2 linked regions of the Caenorhabditis elegans genome follow. The protein of the gene in region 1 purifies or fractionates together with the protein of each later gene. This does not show direct contact. Each region holds a gene or a part of one and is shown on either strand. Other genes may lie near its edges.

Region 1 (9,653 bases):
AATTTTTCAGACAGGTTTAGCCGCGAGGAATCAGATTTTTCAGCCAAACATACGGTACCCGATCTCAACACGACAAATTTCGATAATCGCAGAAGGCTATGATTTTTTCGTATATGATTCCTTTAATTTTTTATTGAATAAATTTATTTTTTATTGAACAAAAGCGACATCAATAGCAACGAGAGTTGGAAATCATTACAGTAGTCATTAAAGGCTCAATCTTTTTTTCAGAACAAAAAATTGTCCCATCGAGACCAGTTACCGTATTCATTGACGCGAAAAGTGCAAATTTCTGAATATTATAATACAATGTTAATAAAGTTCCAAGTATTTAGTAGCGTTTGGTCCCTCTCCAAAGTCTAAACCATATGAAAAAAATCATGAAATTGATGATATTTCATTTATGATCGGTGATCTATGGCTACGAAACCAATGATGTAAAAATCAACTTGTTTTCTAATTTCAAAATTTCCAGATGACCTTTGAAGGATAACCGTTTCGATGATGTAACTGTAAATTTCATCGACAACATCAAACAAATACGTCATCGGAATATGAAATAGTTAACGCTTCTCTCTTCCTGTCAAGACAACAGAGAACGTCACAAATATTTGATATCTTCACACACATTCCACACTTCCTTTTTTGACTGTCGCCCACGCCGGAACCCTGTGTCTTCTGCGCGGTGCAATTGATTAATTACCCTATTCGTCAAGGGGAATGGGCAAAGAGGAAGCGAGGCGAGATAGAGAATGACTGGGTTATCATAGAACGGTCAACGTGTTGATGGCGAGGCTGCTTAGATTCATGTGAACAAGTTAAGACGAAAAGATCAGGATTAAACGTTTACACAGATTCATGACGCAATTATTTGAATTGCATTTCAATTGATGCAACTAAAAAGAGAACAATAAATAATATAATGGTTTAAAGTTTGAAAAAATACAGTAAAACCCAATAAAATTAAAAAGACATTCAAGTTTCCATTGGTTCTGGCTCATCTGTTGGAGCTTGATCTTCGGCGGAAGCTGGTTCGGCGTCGGCAGCTGTTTCAGAACTGACAGCAGCAGCAGCGGAAGTAGATGGAACATCGTTGCTATCGTCGGAATTCACTTCTGGAAATAGAAATACATTGAGTTATTTTAAGATCCATATGAATTAGTACTAACCTGCACTAAGAACTGGCGGAGCTTCGGCGCTATCTTGAGTCTCATCATCTGGTTCTTGTTTTACACCTTCTTCCTCTTCTGCCTCTACTGGTTCATCCTCTTCCATCCTTTCTCCATTTTCAGACATGAATTTACTGTAAAGAGCTGCAAACTTTGGTTGAATGCCATCCATCTGCTGGCGAAGTATTGGAGTTACAAATGGTCCTGGTGGTGGAAGTACGCTACGGTTGGCTATCGCGTCCTCGTCTTTTGTGGTCAGTCGCGAAAGAATTCTGAAATATATATACATATATTGACTGAAGCTTTTACGAGTTAAAACTTACTGTCTCTCGGTCATGTTGAGACGTTCGGTGACAGTCGCTAACTGTGTAAAAGTAGATGGAAGTCTAGACACGTCGGCCTTCATATCGGAAAGTATTTCGTCGAGCTGAACCAATGTTTTGTGTAGAACGGCATTCGCATTACGATTTCCAGCAGAACTTTCTTTGGCGATATTAGCTTGAGATTCAGCAATATTCTCTAAATCCGCAAAACGTTGAGCCAATGGTCCAACATTATCCGGCTGCAAGTGACGATTGGCGTGTGCAGCGCGACGAAGTTGCTCCTCAATCACAAGGGACTGTTCAATAAGTTTGAAACGACGTTGCATAAACTTGGCTTTGATGTCAGATCCTGTTGCCTCAGCGCCAACTTCCTTGAATGGCTCATTGAGAACTGAGAATCTGGGATCATTGATGATGTCATTGAAATTAGCTTGGAAACGTCCATATCCGTGTACAACAACACCAGCTAAAAGCCAATAGTCGTGTCTGCGGTACCAGATTTCATATTCTTTTCCGTTTCTTGCAACTTTCTCTTCATTGGCCCACAAAGAGTGAAGTTCAGTGAATCCACCGTCACAAATGTTGAACTTGAATGATGGACGGGCTGCTCTTGGTTTCTCGGTTTCAATTGGTTCTTCTTTCGGTTCTTTGGCTTCATCTGTATCCATTGGTTCGTCAACAGGAGCGTTTTGTTCACTCTCAGCATCTGTAGCTGGCTCTGATGTAGCTCCGTTAACTGTTTCAGTAGCATCTTCCTTTTCCATTGGTTCTTCCTTCGGCTCTTCTTTTGGTTTCGGAGTACTTCTTGAAGATCCTTGTGCCGAACCATTGGCAGCTTTAGCGAGAACTTCGTCTTGTATTTCAGGCATAGACCATTGGCCATTATATTGCTCAAATTCTTGAACCTTCCGCCGAACTAAACTCAGCAATCCGATTCGGCCAAGAACATGCTGACGATTAAGACCTTCTCTTGGAACTCCATCATTAAAGGTATCATGACCATCAGCTCCAGGCTCACAGAGATGTCGCATGAACAGTGAAGCATAAGCTCGGAAGACTTTTTCCGATTTGTTTCTCAGATCTCGAACAAGCCATTGAGATTGATGAGAATCTTGTGGAGGCATTCCCCAGCGCATAACAGCCCCGTAGAACGCCTTGCGTTGACGTGGATTGAAACCAAGAATCTCAACTTGTCCATTGACTTTAGCCATGAGTGGAGGCATTTTTTCTTCATCACGACGCCGCTTTTTCTTCTCATCGTAATCATCTTCATCAGAGTTCAGGCCGTCGCCATTGTCCGAACCACGGTACGACTCGTTATCATCGTCATCATCTTGGGTTTGGTTCTGAAAAAAATCATTAAATGTTTAATCAGAAATTAATCAGAAAAACCCAATTAATCAGAAAAAAAACAAACCTGCTTGCTCCAATCAGTTCCCATATTCTCACTGGCATAGTTGATTTGTTTGCGAACACGTTTTCCCTTTCCAAGCTTTTGCAATTCGATTTCCCTGTCCTGTTCGTAGTGATGCTTGAGCAGCTTCTCCCAATAATCTGGATCTGGTTCTTTCTCATCTTCTTTAATCACTTCCGTTTCCTCTTCCTCCTCTTCTTCTTGTCCTTCAGTCTCTTTTGTCTGATAGCTGGCCACCTTGAACGAGCTTAGATATTCGTTTTGCCATTCAGCTTTTTCTTCGCCATCTTCTCCTGCTGGAGTCTCTTCTTTGTTACTGCGATCGAGAAGAGCATCTACAGCTGCATCATCCCAAACAATTTCTTGTGCGGCAGCACCTTTCTTCTCCGAGCCTTCGCCTTCGGCAGCATCAAGATCCTCACTGAATAACTCTTCGGTTCCCCATCGAAGCACATCGTCCAGCTCAGTCTTGCTCATTGTCTTTCCTTCTTTTCCTCCCAATCCTGCACGTACAACCAAGTGATTCAAAAGCATCTTCTTCTTGGCAACTGAAGTGATTTTTTCTTCGACAGATTTCTTTGTTACAAAACGATAAATCATAACTTTATGCTTCTGTCCGAGACGATGTGCACGAGAGAAAGCTTGAATATCATTGTGAGGATTCCAATCAGAATCATATATGATAACCGTATCAGCAGTTGCCAGATTGATACCAAGACCTCCAGCTCGAGTGGAGAGCAAGAAAATAAATTGTTGAGCTCCAGGAGCATTGTAACGATCGATAGCATCTTGTCTCATTTGTCCCATGATACTTCCATCTATTCTTTCATATCTGTATCCTTCATATTCACATAAATCTTCCATTATGTCCAGCATCCTTGTCATTTGTGAGAAGATAAGCACTCGGTGGCCACCATCCTTCAGCTTTCTCAACATTTTTTGAAGAAGAACAAACTTTCCGGAATTCTTGATGAGCGCCGTTCCTTCATACATTCCGTTTTTCTCTTTCGGAGCCTCCAACTCTGCCTTCACAAAAAGATATGGATGATTACAACATTTCTTCAATTCCATAAGGACGTTCATCAATGACATTTGAGTTCCTCCATTCTTCACATTCAATGCATCAAAATTGCGAGTCAGAATATTTTTATACCATTTTTTCTGCATAGCACTCAGTTCAACTCGAACAATTAATTCTGATTTCGATGGCATGCCAGTCAACACATCAGCTTTGAGACGGCGAAGCATGTGAGGTCCGAGCAAGTTATGAAGTTTTTCAATTTGATCCTCTTTGGAAATCTCATTGAATTCGGCAGTGAAAGCCTCGAGCTGACTGAAAAAATGCAATTAATAAAATAAAATACACAAAAATTCAGAAACTTACTTGAAACGTTCTTTGGACAAGAAATTGAGGAGATGGAAGAGCTCTTCTAAATTGTTTTGAAGTGGAGTTCCGGTGAGAAGTACGCGATAATGAATAGTATATTCATTGAGATTTTTGAAGAACAACGACTGATTATTCTTTAACCGATGAGCCTCATCAACAACAAGAGCTCCCCATTCAATGGAAGAAAGTATAGTTTTATCCATATTGATAGTCTCATAAGAAGTGAGCAACACGTGGAACTTCATATTCTCTGTCGTCTTCATTTTTGAAGCCTTCGGTCCGGATCGAACGGCACCTTCAACGAAAGAAAACTCATGTTCTCGGAGCACAACACGAGCATCTCTAAGACCAACATAAGTGACCACATAGAAATCAGGACACCATTGTTCAGCCTCACGCTCCCAATTGATAATAGTTGATAGAGGAGCGGCAATCAAAAATGGTCCTTTGCAATGGCCTTCCTTCATGAGACTGTATAAGAAAGTAAGCGATTGAACAGTCTTCCCAAGACCCATTTCATCAGCGAGAATCGCATCAGTTCCGTTGGACCAACAATGACGAAGCCAGTTAAGTCCTTCCAGTTGATATGGATGAAGTTTTCCTCCGGTTTCCGTAACGTAGTCGGGCTGAACTTCATATTTTTTACGGATGTCAATCTTCTCACGCTTCTTCTTTTTCTTTTCGTCTTCTTTTGGAGGAAGACCTTTAGCTTCGCGATGTTTAGCAATCATCTTCTGCACATTTTTAGGAATATCCTCATTTAATTTGCTCTCACGATGTTGCCAGTATTTAATGATTGCTTCTTCGTAATTGGCAATATTAGAATCATCTCGTTCCCAAGTGGCTTGATCATAGCTGAGCTCCTTCCACTTAACAAGGTAATCCTGCTGCGACTTTGCATATGATTGATGATTGATAATACGATGAATTTGCATCCATTCCGGTTTGATACCATACTGGTAGAACCGCTCGCGCAATTTATAAGGATCATTATCAGAATGATGACGAGACGTAACGGATTCTTCAAATTCTGGAGGAGCATCGGAATCATTTTTGCGCCAATATAGCAATATAAGCTGGAAAAATAAACATTAGTCAAATGGACTTCATCACTTAAAACTCACCATACGGAAATGAACTTCCAACAGCATTTCGGAGACCCAAGAACACTGCCAGTATGATAAATACTTCCATTTCACGAAGAATTCACGCTCACGTCTTGGTTCCATTTTCCGTGGTGGTTTGAGCATCGCATCGTCACTCGAAGCCTCTTTCCCAGCTTCGAGAGGTTCTGGATACGGGATTTCCTTCCATCTCCAGCAAAGGATTTTTTCGATTTTGTGTTCCGGCTTAACCGTCTCGCACCGTGGGCACGACCATGTTTCTTCTTTCGGAACTTCGGTAAGTGGAGGATCAATACAATATGCGTGGAATGAGCATACACAACTATCACAAAGCAGAAGATTCTCAGTTTCTTTGCAGATCTTGCAGAATTCATCGTTTTGCTTCGCCGGTTCTTCTTTAACTACTTCTGGGCCATGTTCGATACAATGAGCACAACTCCAATCACCCTCTGGTGGTTCTTCCATATTTTCATCAATACAGACTGTATGGTAAGCGCGGGGACAGGTGTCACAAAGAAGAAGTTCTCCATCTTGCTTGCACTCCTCACAGTAGTCATTATTTTCAGCTTCTTCGCCCTTTTCTAATTTTGCTTTTTTAGCGGCACGAGCAGCTTCCAATGCTCCTTTTTTCTTCTCTTCTCTTTCCGCTGCACGTTTGATACGAGCATCTTCCTTGTCTTTTACCAAATCGTCCTCCAGTTGTTCTTGTTGCTTAATAAATGCCTCAAACTCTTGATCACTATCAGGAGCATCGGAATCTCGACGCTTTCTCCTTGCAGAACGAGTCTTCGTTGGAGCTGATCGTGGAGGGATGACGGGTGTGGAAACTGCTGGAGTCTTTGAACCTCTAGCTTGTTTTTGAACAGGTTTTCCTTGGGCAGCCATGTGATCTTGATACTCTTTATATTTGACTTGGAACATCGGGTACATCTTGGATACGTTGGTTCCGGGGTTTGCCTCCAGTATTTGTGGCTTGATGATTGAGGAGAAAGTCTGTAAAAAAGATGTTTAATTGGAGGAAAACAGAAATCGAGATTTAAAAAATAAATTTTGAATAATCACCTTCAGATTAGAAATTCCTTGAAACTCCTCTTCATCATAATCAAATTCGACGTCTGTCAATCCGATAGCAGCACAAACTTCTTCACTTGTCGAATTATACGGATCAGGAATCTCAACCTTGCTAGCTGCGGCAGCACTCTTTTTGGATCCTTTTTTGCCTCCCTTTCCGCCTTTCTTTCTAGAAGAACGCTTTCGCTCAGATGGTCCAGCCTCATCGCCTTGCTCTTGTTCTTCCTCTTCTTCTGTTTCTTCAGTTGCGTCTTGAGTGACAGAACCCTCTTCCATTGATTCTTCCGCGTCCACTAAAGACGGATCTTCTTCAGTTGACATTGTTGAATTCTCAGGAGAAATACAATTTCTGAAAATTGATTAATATAAGTAAGACATAAATAATTGCAAGAAGGACATTATAAAGAGAACAAATTAGAAAGCTCGAATGCAAATCAGCAAAATTTGAAAGTGTGAAAAGTCTGCAAACACGGCGACGAAATAACACACAGAGTTGAGTGTAAATTTTGGGCTGATAGATTAAGCCTTAATTTTTTCTAAAAAACGTAGAAAATTTTGAAAATATTAAATTCCTAAAGTAGGAATTTAAATTTAAGCTCGTCAAGCTATTTTAAATTTTTTAAAATTTATTTTACAACCTACGTTTCAAGTTTTCTAAAATCTACCATCGAGAAAATGCAATTATTACAAGAAAAGTTAGAAAAAATAGCCGTATTCAAAAACATATTTCAAACAAATATTGATTCGAAACGGGACAATTTCATGTCCCCATATGTCCCATTTGACGAGACACTGCGGGGACATTGCAGAACGGGGACACAGCTCGTTGGGACGGTGGTCAGAGAAAGAGAGACGAGAGGAGAGTGATGGAAATTCGAATGACCCGTCTTCGCGCGTAAGAGTGACCAAATGCAGCGTCGTGTTTCCCGCAACGAAAATTATTAATACGTGGCATGTCCCTTTACTAATTTGAGTTGAGAATTATGTTGTTCACAGAAAATTAAAAACACGTTGGATTACGGATTAAAAAAAAAACTAGTAAATTAGATCTATTTCAGGATTCAAATCAGGTAAAAACTGTGAACCGTCCTGATAGAATTAAAATTTTGAATTAAAATTGGGAAAATTACGAGCAAATATTTATGACGATTTTAGAAATATACTTGTATACTTAGAAATATCAAATTGCGGAAATTGAGAGGAAACGCGAATCCAAAAAGCGAGCCAAAAAAAAATGAAAAAGAAAACATTTGAACAAAACGCATCTGCTGGCAATGGAGCGCACCTGCATAGCTCCCGAAAATAGGTTTCTTCTTCGGAACTTTACTAATTTTTAATTGAATCAGCATGTATATACAAATTCTTATACAAAGATATACAAATTCTTTTCAGAAACTAGGAAAACCTTAGAAAACAGGGAAAAAGCTAAAAAAAAAAGAACGGGACAGTAAACGTTAAGACGCACACACAACATTTTAAAATCAATGCACTTAGCGCGGCGAGACCCATTCGCATAAATGGACCTCCCTTGAAAGCGCAAAAGCGGAAAATGATTCAAATCGATGCACGGCAGTGAAGAAAAAGATCTAGAAGTTCAAAACACGTGTTTATGCGAGTTAAAAATAATTTAAAAGAAATAAAATGTTCATAATGTTTAAATCAAGGATAAACAAATTTACCTTGACCTTCTGAAAACGTGGCAATTTTAAATGATTGAATAACATTTAATATTTCGAATTAACAGTATAACGCTTTAGATTCGCCCTATTATAAGCTTCTAGAAATTATATCTTAACTTCTGAAAAAATTTCTCAAACTGCTAGATTTTCTACAAAATTGTAAAAGTGTAATTTGGAAAATAATGTTCGAAAACAGTGATATTACGGGAACACAGAATTTTGAGAATGCGTATTGCACAAGGCATTTGAAATAGAGCCCGTAAATCGCCATAAGAGCTACAGTAATCAGTTAAAGTGTTACTGTAGTTTTCGCTATGAGATACTTTCAAATATGTTGTGAAATACGCATTCTCAGAATTTTGTGTTGACATAATAGAGTACTCAAATGTCCAAACTTTAAAATGATATATCTGTCAACTTACCACAAATTTGGTAATTTGGCTTTTACAGAAATCGACTAATTCTGAATATTTTAAAGCAAGATCCCCAAGTTCCCAAAAACAAATTGTACAAAGGAAATATAACCAACATCATTTTCAGGCATGTGTCATCGTTTTTTACTCAAAGTTGTCAAATTTTAATGTATCTCCAACCCAAAAATGTCCAGTCAATAAGTAAACATAAACTTTTGATTCAGTTATTTTTTTTCAAAAGTTCAACTGCCGGAAACCAGATAATCCGAGATGCTGGGATTCACGTGAACCTCTCCACCCTTTGTCTCATGGAATTATGGAAGATAACAAAACAACAAAACCATAACATATTACAGTACCCCTCATTTTTCGGTTTCTTTTTTTTTTGTTCTAATGTCTCCGTGATAAGCGTTTCAACGACACCCCCCTGATTTCATATCAGATTATCAGAGAAAGGCGCGTTTTTGTTTTGATATTGAATAAGAGAGCAGTTTCATGGAGTTTGGTTTAAACGAAAAATTACAAATTACGTGAATTTTCAAATGAGAAGTCAATGAGCGGTCAGAGAAGTGTTGAATGTCCTTTTGAGATAGATTGTGTGGCATTTTTTTTTTGAAAATTACTATTTAATATGCTTTTGATCTTGCAAAATTTGATTTCTCGAACGTAAGGAAATCTTCCAATCTTGCCAAAAATGTTAATAATCTAAACCGCATTATACTATAAACGTTAAATCAAATATATGGTAGAATAATAGTTTGGCTACCAGTTTGTAGGTTTAATGGCTAAACGATGAACTAAGCAATTTTCTGGAGTGCTATCAAATACTATAAAGTCTAGAGTAGCCCATATGTGCGATATAGCTTTCAGTCGTTTTTTTCTATTTATGCACCTAGTCACTTTTGGAAAGCTTGTCTGGTGAGTTTACTTTAAATCAATTGCTATTTTCATAGGAACAATGGTCTTTCAGATTGGTAAATTTTACAAAATTGTACTCTAAGCCACCTAACTAAATAGCTGAAAATAATGTATGGATTTCAAATTATGAAAACATGAAATGTAGCCCAACTGTG
Region 2 (7,782 bases), on another chromosome or scaffold:
CGATTCAAAGTTTTCGGGCAAAATTCTCCATTTGGATTCACCTCGCAATCGTGATGAATTTTCCACGCGATGAACTTGTCCAGGTACACATTTCTATAATTGGAATTTTTCTATAATATTTGGAACATTTTTATCTCTGACAACCCGGATGCAATGGGGCCTGCCTACAATCGACGCCTTTTCTCTGTCTTCCCTGGATTTTGGATCTCGCTGCAAACTTTCTCGCAGCTTTCGGAATGCCAAGCTTCACGCAAATCTCGTACGTTGGATCGATCTGGCAAAATGTTTTGAGTTTCTCAGGAATTACGGCCGGTGGTTCGATTAAGCTTCTGCTACTGGAATTTTTGTCATTTTCAGATTTTCCTGCAGAAAAAAATCCAACTTACGTTTCCGAAGCCTCCAGCAGCATGGGAAATAAGAAAAATAAGAAGAAAATCACCATCTTTAAGGAAGAAGTGAAAAAATTGTGCTGTGTCGGGCGATTTTATAGGAGGAATTTTGATTCGATTATATTTATGGTTTTCAGAAATTTGAAGGAAGGAAAATGTATTCAGAAACATGAGATTCTAGGGAAATAACAGTTAAACAAGTAGATCTTGAGATTTGAAAGTGATATCAACGGGAAAAATTTAAGAAAAAAAGTCAAGAAAAAAGATTATTCAGAAGTCATTGGTTTGGAGAGTTTCTGGCTTTTGGGCCTGCTGGGCTTCTCGGATCTCTCCTTGGTTTGGACCATCCTGGAAAAAGTTTATTCAAAAAGTCAAGTTGAAAGTCTACACAAAACTGGTTCTCGAAGCGACCGAAAATTTGCAGCTACCGTAACCAACCACAATTTTCTACGGCTTATCATGATTTTTTTGATCCAAAAAAATCTTTGTGTTATAAATTTTTAAAAATTGAGTGGAAAAAACTAGAGGGTACGGTAGCTGCAGTCGTCTCGAGACCCGAAAAGCTTTTTGCAAAATCTACCTGAACGCTATCTGATGTTCTCCAGAATAACTGTAGTCAAATGTGAGCTCTTCACTAATCTCAAGCCGTCTCTTCGCATAGAACCCAATTCGGTGCTCTCCGGCGACAACCATCGTTCTCGCGTAGCACGTCGGATTCTTGCTGTCATGATTGGCAAATCGTGCCAAGTTTCCAATTTTGTACGAATCGATCGCACCCCCGGTTTCAATGTCTGCAAAAATATTTTTTTTTGTTCCGAAAAATTGAATTTTCAAAAAAAAAGAAAACTTTTGATGGTTTTTTTTTTCGATATTTTGTTAATTTTTTGAAATAATTTTTTCTTATTTATTTGATTTTCAAAAAATCGAAATGTTGTCTCTAAAAACCCAAAAAAAATTTAAATTTAAAACATTTTTCTGCGACACCGTGATCTAAAAAAAGTACATACTAAAAATGTAGCTGCACTGATATCGATCATATATCGCACCGCGTCGTTCGGCTTCATCATCGGAAATTCGTTCACCAGTGTATTCCGTAATGAACTCGTCTTTTTCGGCGGGTTCCAACAAGAAAAGTCCATTGCCTGCTATTTTCGATGGCCCGCAATACGTTCGTTTTTGGATCATTCTAGTCATTCCAAAATTGCGGCATTTTATTATGTTCGAGTCGATGGCGTCGCATCTGAATTTGTTTTTAAATTGAGAATTTTCAGGTACAAAATTCGATTTTTCTGTGCTATTTTGATTTTATATACCTTTTTTTAAATTTGGGATTTTGATTGAAGATTTTTAATGGACATTTGGTCCTTCTTTTTCGAGAAATTTTCAGTTCGATCAATTTTTTTTGGAAAGTTTAATTTTTTCCTTTCTTAAAATTTCCATTTCTGGAAGTTCTGAAAAATTAAAGCTTACTAAAAAAACTTTTCAAAAAATTCCTGTGCACTCACTTGCACATATTACACGTCATCGGATTACATTCCCAATTGGCTCGATAGCACTGGCAAGCCTTCGTGTAGCACTGACCGGCGGCGCAATTGCATCCCGGGAATCGCTGAGAACAGTTTATATCGCATTTGCACATGTACGAGCACACTCCGTTTTCACGACATGCACAATTTTCGGCTGTCGCGTTGCATGGGCCTGAAATGTTTAAAAATTAATTTTCAATTAATGGGGTTATTAATGCGATGTAGTAAAATGTGCAAAAATGTGTTTTCATTCATTTGTGTCCAATAAATACATGTGTGTCCAATAAATACAAAAAAATATTCGTTTTCTGCATTTTTCGACATCGGTCGACAGCCCACTTCACATGCTGAAGGCGAGAGACGCAGAGAGATATGCACCCGCGGGTTTTCTCTGCGTGTCTCGCCTTCAGCATGAGAAGTGGGATGTCGCCCAATGTCGAAAAATGCAGGAAATGCCGAAAAATGTCGAAAAATGCAAAAAATTAATGCTACATTGTTCGATGCACATGGGTAGGTGAAAAATGTATAAAAACAAATTATTGCATTTTTCTACATTTCACGAATAACCCCATAATTGTTTTCCATTCCTCACCCGCATGTCGACACGCTGTGATTGGCGTCACCGCGGTCATGCGAACTTTCTCGCTATTTCGCTGAGAATCACGCATATCATCTTCTCGAATCAATTTTTCCGCATCCAGACCATCTCTCAATGCTTGAATACGCAGACTGTCGTGACGCAGCTTACGCTTCGCCTTCTCCTGACTCAACTGATTACGACGGAAGTTGTTGACTCGATCCTTGATACTTCTGAAACAATTCAATTTTTTATATAAAAAATCGCGTCAACTGACAATCTATTCGACGGTTGTCCCATTTTAAGTCGTCGGGCGCTCACATTTTCTGCCATCGACATCATTAGATGATATGCGTCACGACATGAACGAATTTTGCTTTCCTCGTCGTCTTCGTCGACATATTTTTTGACAAACTCGCAGAATGGCTGAGAATGGATTTTTTGCATTTTAAGCTATAAAGCTCGATTTTGCACCCTTTTTTCCTATTTTTCGCTATTTTTTGTTTAAAATAGTTTGATTTACATAATATACAAACTCTTAAACGCAAAATGAAAAACAAAATAACGAAAAAGGTGCAAAATCAAGCTTTATAGCTTTAAAAAAAAGAGAAAACTTGCGAGAAATTAATTTCACTGGAAATATAATTTTTCAATAAAAATGTTTCGGAGGGATCATCTCAGACCTCCAACTATCGCATGACACTATTTTTATTCCGAATTCAGGAATAGTTTTTGAACTCTTCCCTTGTTAGAAAAATTATTGAAAATTTAAAATTACAGTACTCTTCAAAGACGCACGCCTTTTCGCATTTAACAAAAATTTGTCGCGTCGAGGCCAGGTTTTGGCGCAAAAATCGCGTACTCTTACAATATATGTATTGAACACGTAAATGTTCACAATGAGCGCTCCATCTTCAATCGGCATCTTTGCAATTCTTGATTTCATGAAATAAATCTTCACTTCTTTCTGCAGAATTTCTTCAGAATCCGGCACAAGAACTTCTGAAACTTCTTTCATCGTCACCGATTTCCAGCAATTTCCAGAACACATCTTTCCATCATTTTCCGGGTTATTTGGCAGCGGAAGCATCGCATTATAGAATTCACCATTCGGAAACTCGATTGGAATTTCGGCTTTGAATCCGTGAATCGCACATGTATATGCGAGGCACGCGTAACACGTCGGATTTCGAAGATTTTGAGCACCTTCAGCGATTTTTGTCTTCTTCCATGGTTCGAGGCTCGACGGATCGAATCCTTTTTCAGCAAAGTTCTCGCACAAAACGGGAAAAGCCGACGAAAATTCTCTCTGTGAACTTTTGTTTGGCCATAGACGGTAGAGGGTGTAGTAGAATACGTCTGGGCTGCCTTGGTAGTCTTTGAGCGCAGCACGGCATAGTTTGTAGAGTATCCAATCATTGACATAGGACCAGTTGTCTGAAAAATTTAACATCAATTCGCTTAAAAAATACCTGGAGCTAAGGATTTGCAAGATTGTCCCGAGGTTTGATGCATGTCGATTTATGAAACATTTAGAACTACACGTGGACAAGTGGGAACTTGTTTTTCGCATTTTTCACTTTCAAGGCTATTTTTTAAAACTAATTTTGTGTTTGACATTCAAAATGACATTAATTGAAATAAAATTTCAAAAAAATTTTACGGCGATTTCTCACTGAAAAGTGAGAAATTAGGCAATTTGAATGTAAAATGTAAAAATAAATAGAAATAATGGTACCTTCGTCCCGCCTGTTTTTTTTTCGATTTTTGGGGGTTTCTCAGAGAAAATGGAAAAAATCCGGTATTTTGCAATTTCTCACCCGAAAATCCATGAATTCCATCTGGGAACATATCAATCAAATGCTCATAGATATTCCCATCGTCAATACCATCGCCAAAATACGGCATATGCGTGAGCCGCAGCTGATCCGGAGTCGCCACACTTTGCTCGATTGGAACCCAGTATATCATTGGCGGGGAAATGTCGCCAACCTCGATACGTGAACACGGAGCACGAAACTTCTTCATCAAATCTCCTTCCTCCGTTCGATCCGGTTTGATCCATGTAACTGTGGAATCGGAGACTTTGTAGTCGTTTTCTTCGTATTTTTCACAGTTTTTGAATGAAAATTTTGCGATAGTTCTGCCCTCTCCTAAATTTTCTTGCAGCCTTCTGCGATATTCATTAACACTGCTGCTCGCATCCTTCAACCAATCTTTGATGTCTGTGTCCAGCTCGTCTTTTACTCGAATGTCATAGTCATCTTTGATAGCATTGAAGTGGCCTTTAAGCATACGTTTACATTCTTCAATTCCTTGTTCGCACACGGTCTCCTTGATTTTTTCAGATGAAAAAATTGGCTGAATTTTCACAAAGCGAGGCAAATTTTTCGATTTCTTCGATTTTCCCATAGAAGTTTCGCACTTTTTCCCGCGCTTCTTTGTTTTTCCTGAGGGAGTTGATGTGCTGGGCTCTGAGTTGCTCATTCTGAAAGAATATTGCGTTTTAAAAAGGGAGAAAATTGTATTAAGACGAAAAAGACGAGAGAATAAATCGAAAACAAACAATTTTTAATTTTTAAAAACATTGCAAGTGTTGCGTGCAATCGCGCCCTATTGATAATGTGAAGTTGGCGCGAAGGTTTGGAATTTGAATCTGACAAGGAAAACCAAATGCTTTTTGCAAAATATGTTACCCAGGCGCGAAGTTCTGCCATTTTTATGCTAAAAATACGGTGCCAGGTCTCAACACAGCAATTTTTTGTTAAATGCGAAAATATATGCACCCTTTAAAAAAGTACATAAAAGTCAAATTTTCGTGGCCGCGGAGTTTTCATCGAATTTTTTCCGATCGCAATATATTAAAAAGCTTATATTAAATATAGAAAAAAAATCAATAAATTTTCGAAAAAAGGATTTAGGAAAACCTACTTATAAAAAAATCGATGAAAATTCCTGAGAGTTTGCAATTATGTCTTTAAAGGCACACACCTTTTTGCATTTAACCAAAATTGGTTTTGGTGAGACCGGGTACCGTAATATTTGCAAAATTTTGCATACTAACTATTACTAGTAAGGCTGAATAATTCCAAGAACAATTTTATTTGAACTTTGGAAAAATTACAAAAAAAATTTTTAAGAAAATTAAATCTATTATTGACGCGGTTCCATGCTCCGAATCTTCACCAGTAGCTCATTGATCTCTTCAGTTCGATATGGAAGATTCAGTAGAGTATTCTCCACCGCAAACTCGACAAATCGCTCCCGTGAAATATTGCAATTCAGTAGCAACTCAACGGCTCCGTGAACCTGAAAAATATTATTTTGAAAATAGAGAAAAACATCAGAGGTAAACTCACAAATCCATCGTCTTGCTTCAAGAATCCCATCATCAAAGACATGAGCACTGGCCATGCTTCTTCTCCTTCTTCCATTCCGTTCACAGCTTTTTTCACCTCCCGGAAAGCTTCAATATGCTGGGAATTCAATGTGGACTCCTCAATTAGCTCGATCTCATCAAATAGTTGTGAAGCAGCTGAGATCTTACGAGGAAGAGCTCGGATCAGTGATTGGATCTCGTATTTTCTGTAAAGTGCCAGTGGAAACCGGTGCTCTTGGTGGTGGATTATGGCTCTTGTGATCTGAAATATCATATTATAATTTAAATTGTAAAAATTAATCTATAACTCACCACTCGTCGATTCCCAGTCTTAATTGATTGCACCAGGTGCACCATGAGAACTTCCCAAAGGGCCCACTCATAATTCTCCATCATTTTGTAGTGCCCTTCCTCTTGATCACCATGCAAGTGGAGATTATCGAGAAGTTTTGGGAGCAGCTCTGTCTGATCGAAATTATCCATTTCGAGATTTGGGATCTAAAATGGAAAATTAATAGTTACCCTAAACTTTTCTTTGAAAAAAAACATGCATCTTGATCCAGCAACGACTCGTCTGACAGCTCCCGTCGCAATTGTTCAATTTTTCGCACCAACTCGTCTGCTTCAACAAATCTGTACTGGAACTGAGCAGCAGTCTCGTGCACTCTATAGTACTCGAAATCCGCAAGTGATAGCTCCAATGCACCGAGAAGTTTGAAGGCACATTTTACCTGAAAACCATAATTGTTTTTGAATTCCCGCTGAAATTAGTGACCATTTAACTTACAAGAGCCAAATCATCGAAACACATCATATCAGTGAGAAGCTTCAAAACATGGTCCGGGACAAATGTTCCACCAAAATCGTACAATGTTCCGTATGTGAAATACTTTACAATTTTGGCCTTTTCCCTTTGCATGCTTGCGTTCCTCCATTTTCTGATCCTTCTGGCAAAGTCGGTGGCCGGCGCTAAGTTCGGGACAAATTGATCGATCAGACATGCGATGTTGCACTTGTCCAGGATTTCGACGGTAAAGGGGACTTCCGGCAACGTTTTCAAGACTTCTTGGATCTGAAATTTCATATTTGGATTTTGAGTATATGTAGTAGTTAGCAGGGCTGTGCGGCTGTCGGCTTCAGCCGATAACCCAATTTTTCTACAAGCCGCACAGCCCCGGAAGGTAGGGCTAAAGAAAATCAACGGGAATTTAAGCATTACGATTCAAAATAAAAGCTATTTACTTACCGATTCTTCGTGTCCGCTCTTGATGACACGTGCGAAAAGCTCGATCTCGATCTCAGTTCGGTTCATTTTTGATCTGGAGAATTGATCTGGAATTTGAACAAAATGTATAAGTTATACTATAAGATTTTAGAAAAATAACTTTAATAAAACAGAAAAAGAGGTCACCAAACACCATAAAAAAATATTAAAGACTGACCTGGTCTTCTTCATTGTTTGTCTCCTCGGACGCTGCAACATTGCAGCGTTTGTCCAGGGAAGGAGGTCAATGTAGCATTGCAGCACGTCGGCAGAGTGCTGTAATTACACTTTCGGGAGCACTGTGGCGATGCGCATGACAGCTCGTATTTATTGATTCTATTGACGTAATGAGGTATGGGGAATGAGCATTAGTTCATGACAAAAATGTTCAGACGTTCAATCATAATCCCACTTCAAAATGCTGGAAAAAAGCACATTTTTTGTTATAAATATTGATTCCTTCATGCCTGCCTGTTGGCATGTTTAAAATGGCTGTGCGGAACTTGTTTCGGTAACCTAATCTATGTATGTACTCAGACTATTTTATCAATTAGGAGCCTAGGCAGTTAGGGTATATGGTATATGGTATATGGTATATGGTATATGGCAAAGAGTAAATGGCATAATTTAATAATTAATACATCTTT

The links.
Region 2: the proteins of let-418 (region 1) and mes-2 purify together in Caenorhabditis elegans (affinity purification with western blotting, with the first as the bait; one study listed by BioGRID). This does not show direct contact.

What each region holds. Positions count from the first base shown.
Region 1 is NC_003283.11:5,824,017-5,833,669, reverse strand, and holds let-418 (Protein let-418), read right to left. Parts: upstream 6,838-9,653; 5' UTR 6,810-6,837; coding exon 6,480-6,809; intron 6,411-6,479; coding exon 5,418-6,410; intron 5,370-5,417; coding exon 4,291-5,369; intron 4,240-4,290; coding exon 2,910-4,239; intron 2,839-2,909; coding exon 1,493-2,838; intron 1,442-1,492; coding exon 1,170-1,441; intron 1,116-1,169; coding exon 976-1,115; 3' UTR 839-975; downstream 1-838. UniProt on the Caenorhabditis elegans protein: Part of a NuRD (Nucleosome Remodeling and Deacetylase) complex which is implicated in the synMuv B pathway that negatively regulates specification of vulval cell fate.
Region 2 is NC_003280.10:14,381,173-14,388,954, reverse strand, and holds mes-2 (Histone-lysine N-methyltransferase mes-2), read right to left. Parts: upstream 4,983-7,782; 5' UTR 4,980-4,982; coding exon 4,313-4,979; intron 3,930-4,312; coding exon 3,361-3,929; intron 2,919-3,360; coding exon 2,770-2,918; intron 2,726-2,769; coding exon 2,508-2,725; intron 2,088-2,507; coding exon 1,895-2,087; intron 1,630-1,894; coding exon 1,397-1,629; intron 1,181-1,396; coding exon 970-1,180; intron 738-969; coding exon 656-737; 3' UTR 501-655; downstream 1-500. Other genes in the region: F26H11.8 (uncharacterized protein), read right to left, coding at 131-335, 387-442; sdz-26 (SKN-1 Dependent Zygotic transcript), read right to left, coding at 5,646-5,801, 5,852-6,133, 6,184-6,369, 6,423-6,602, 6,659-6,943, 7,118-7,183. UniProt on the Caenorhabditis elegans protein: Polycomb group (PcG) protein. Catalytic subunit of a the mes-2/mes-3/mes-6 complex, which methylates 'Lys-27' of histone H3, leading to transcriptional repression of the affected target genes.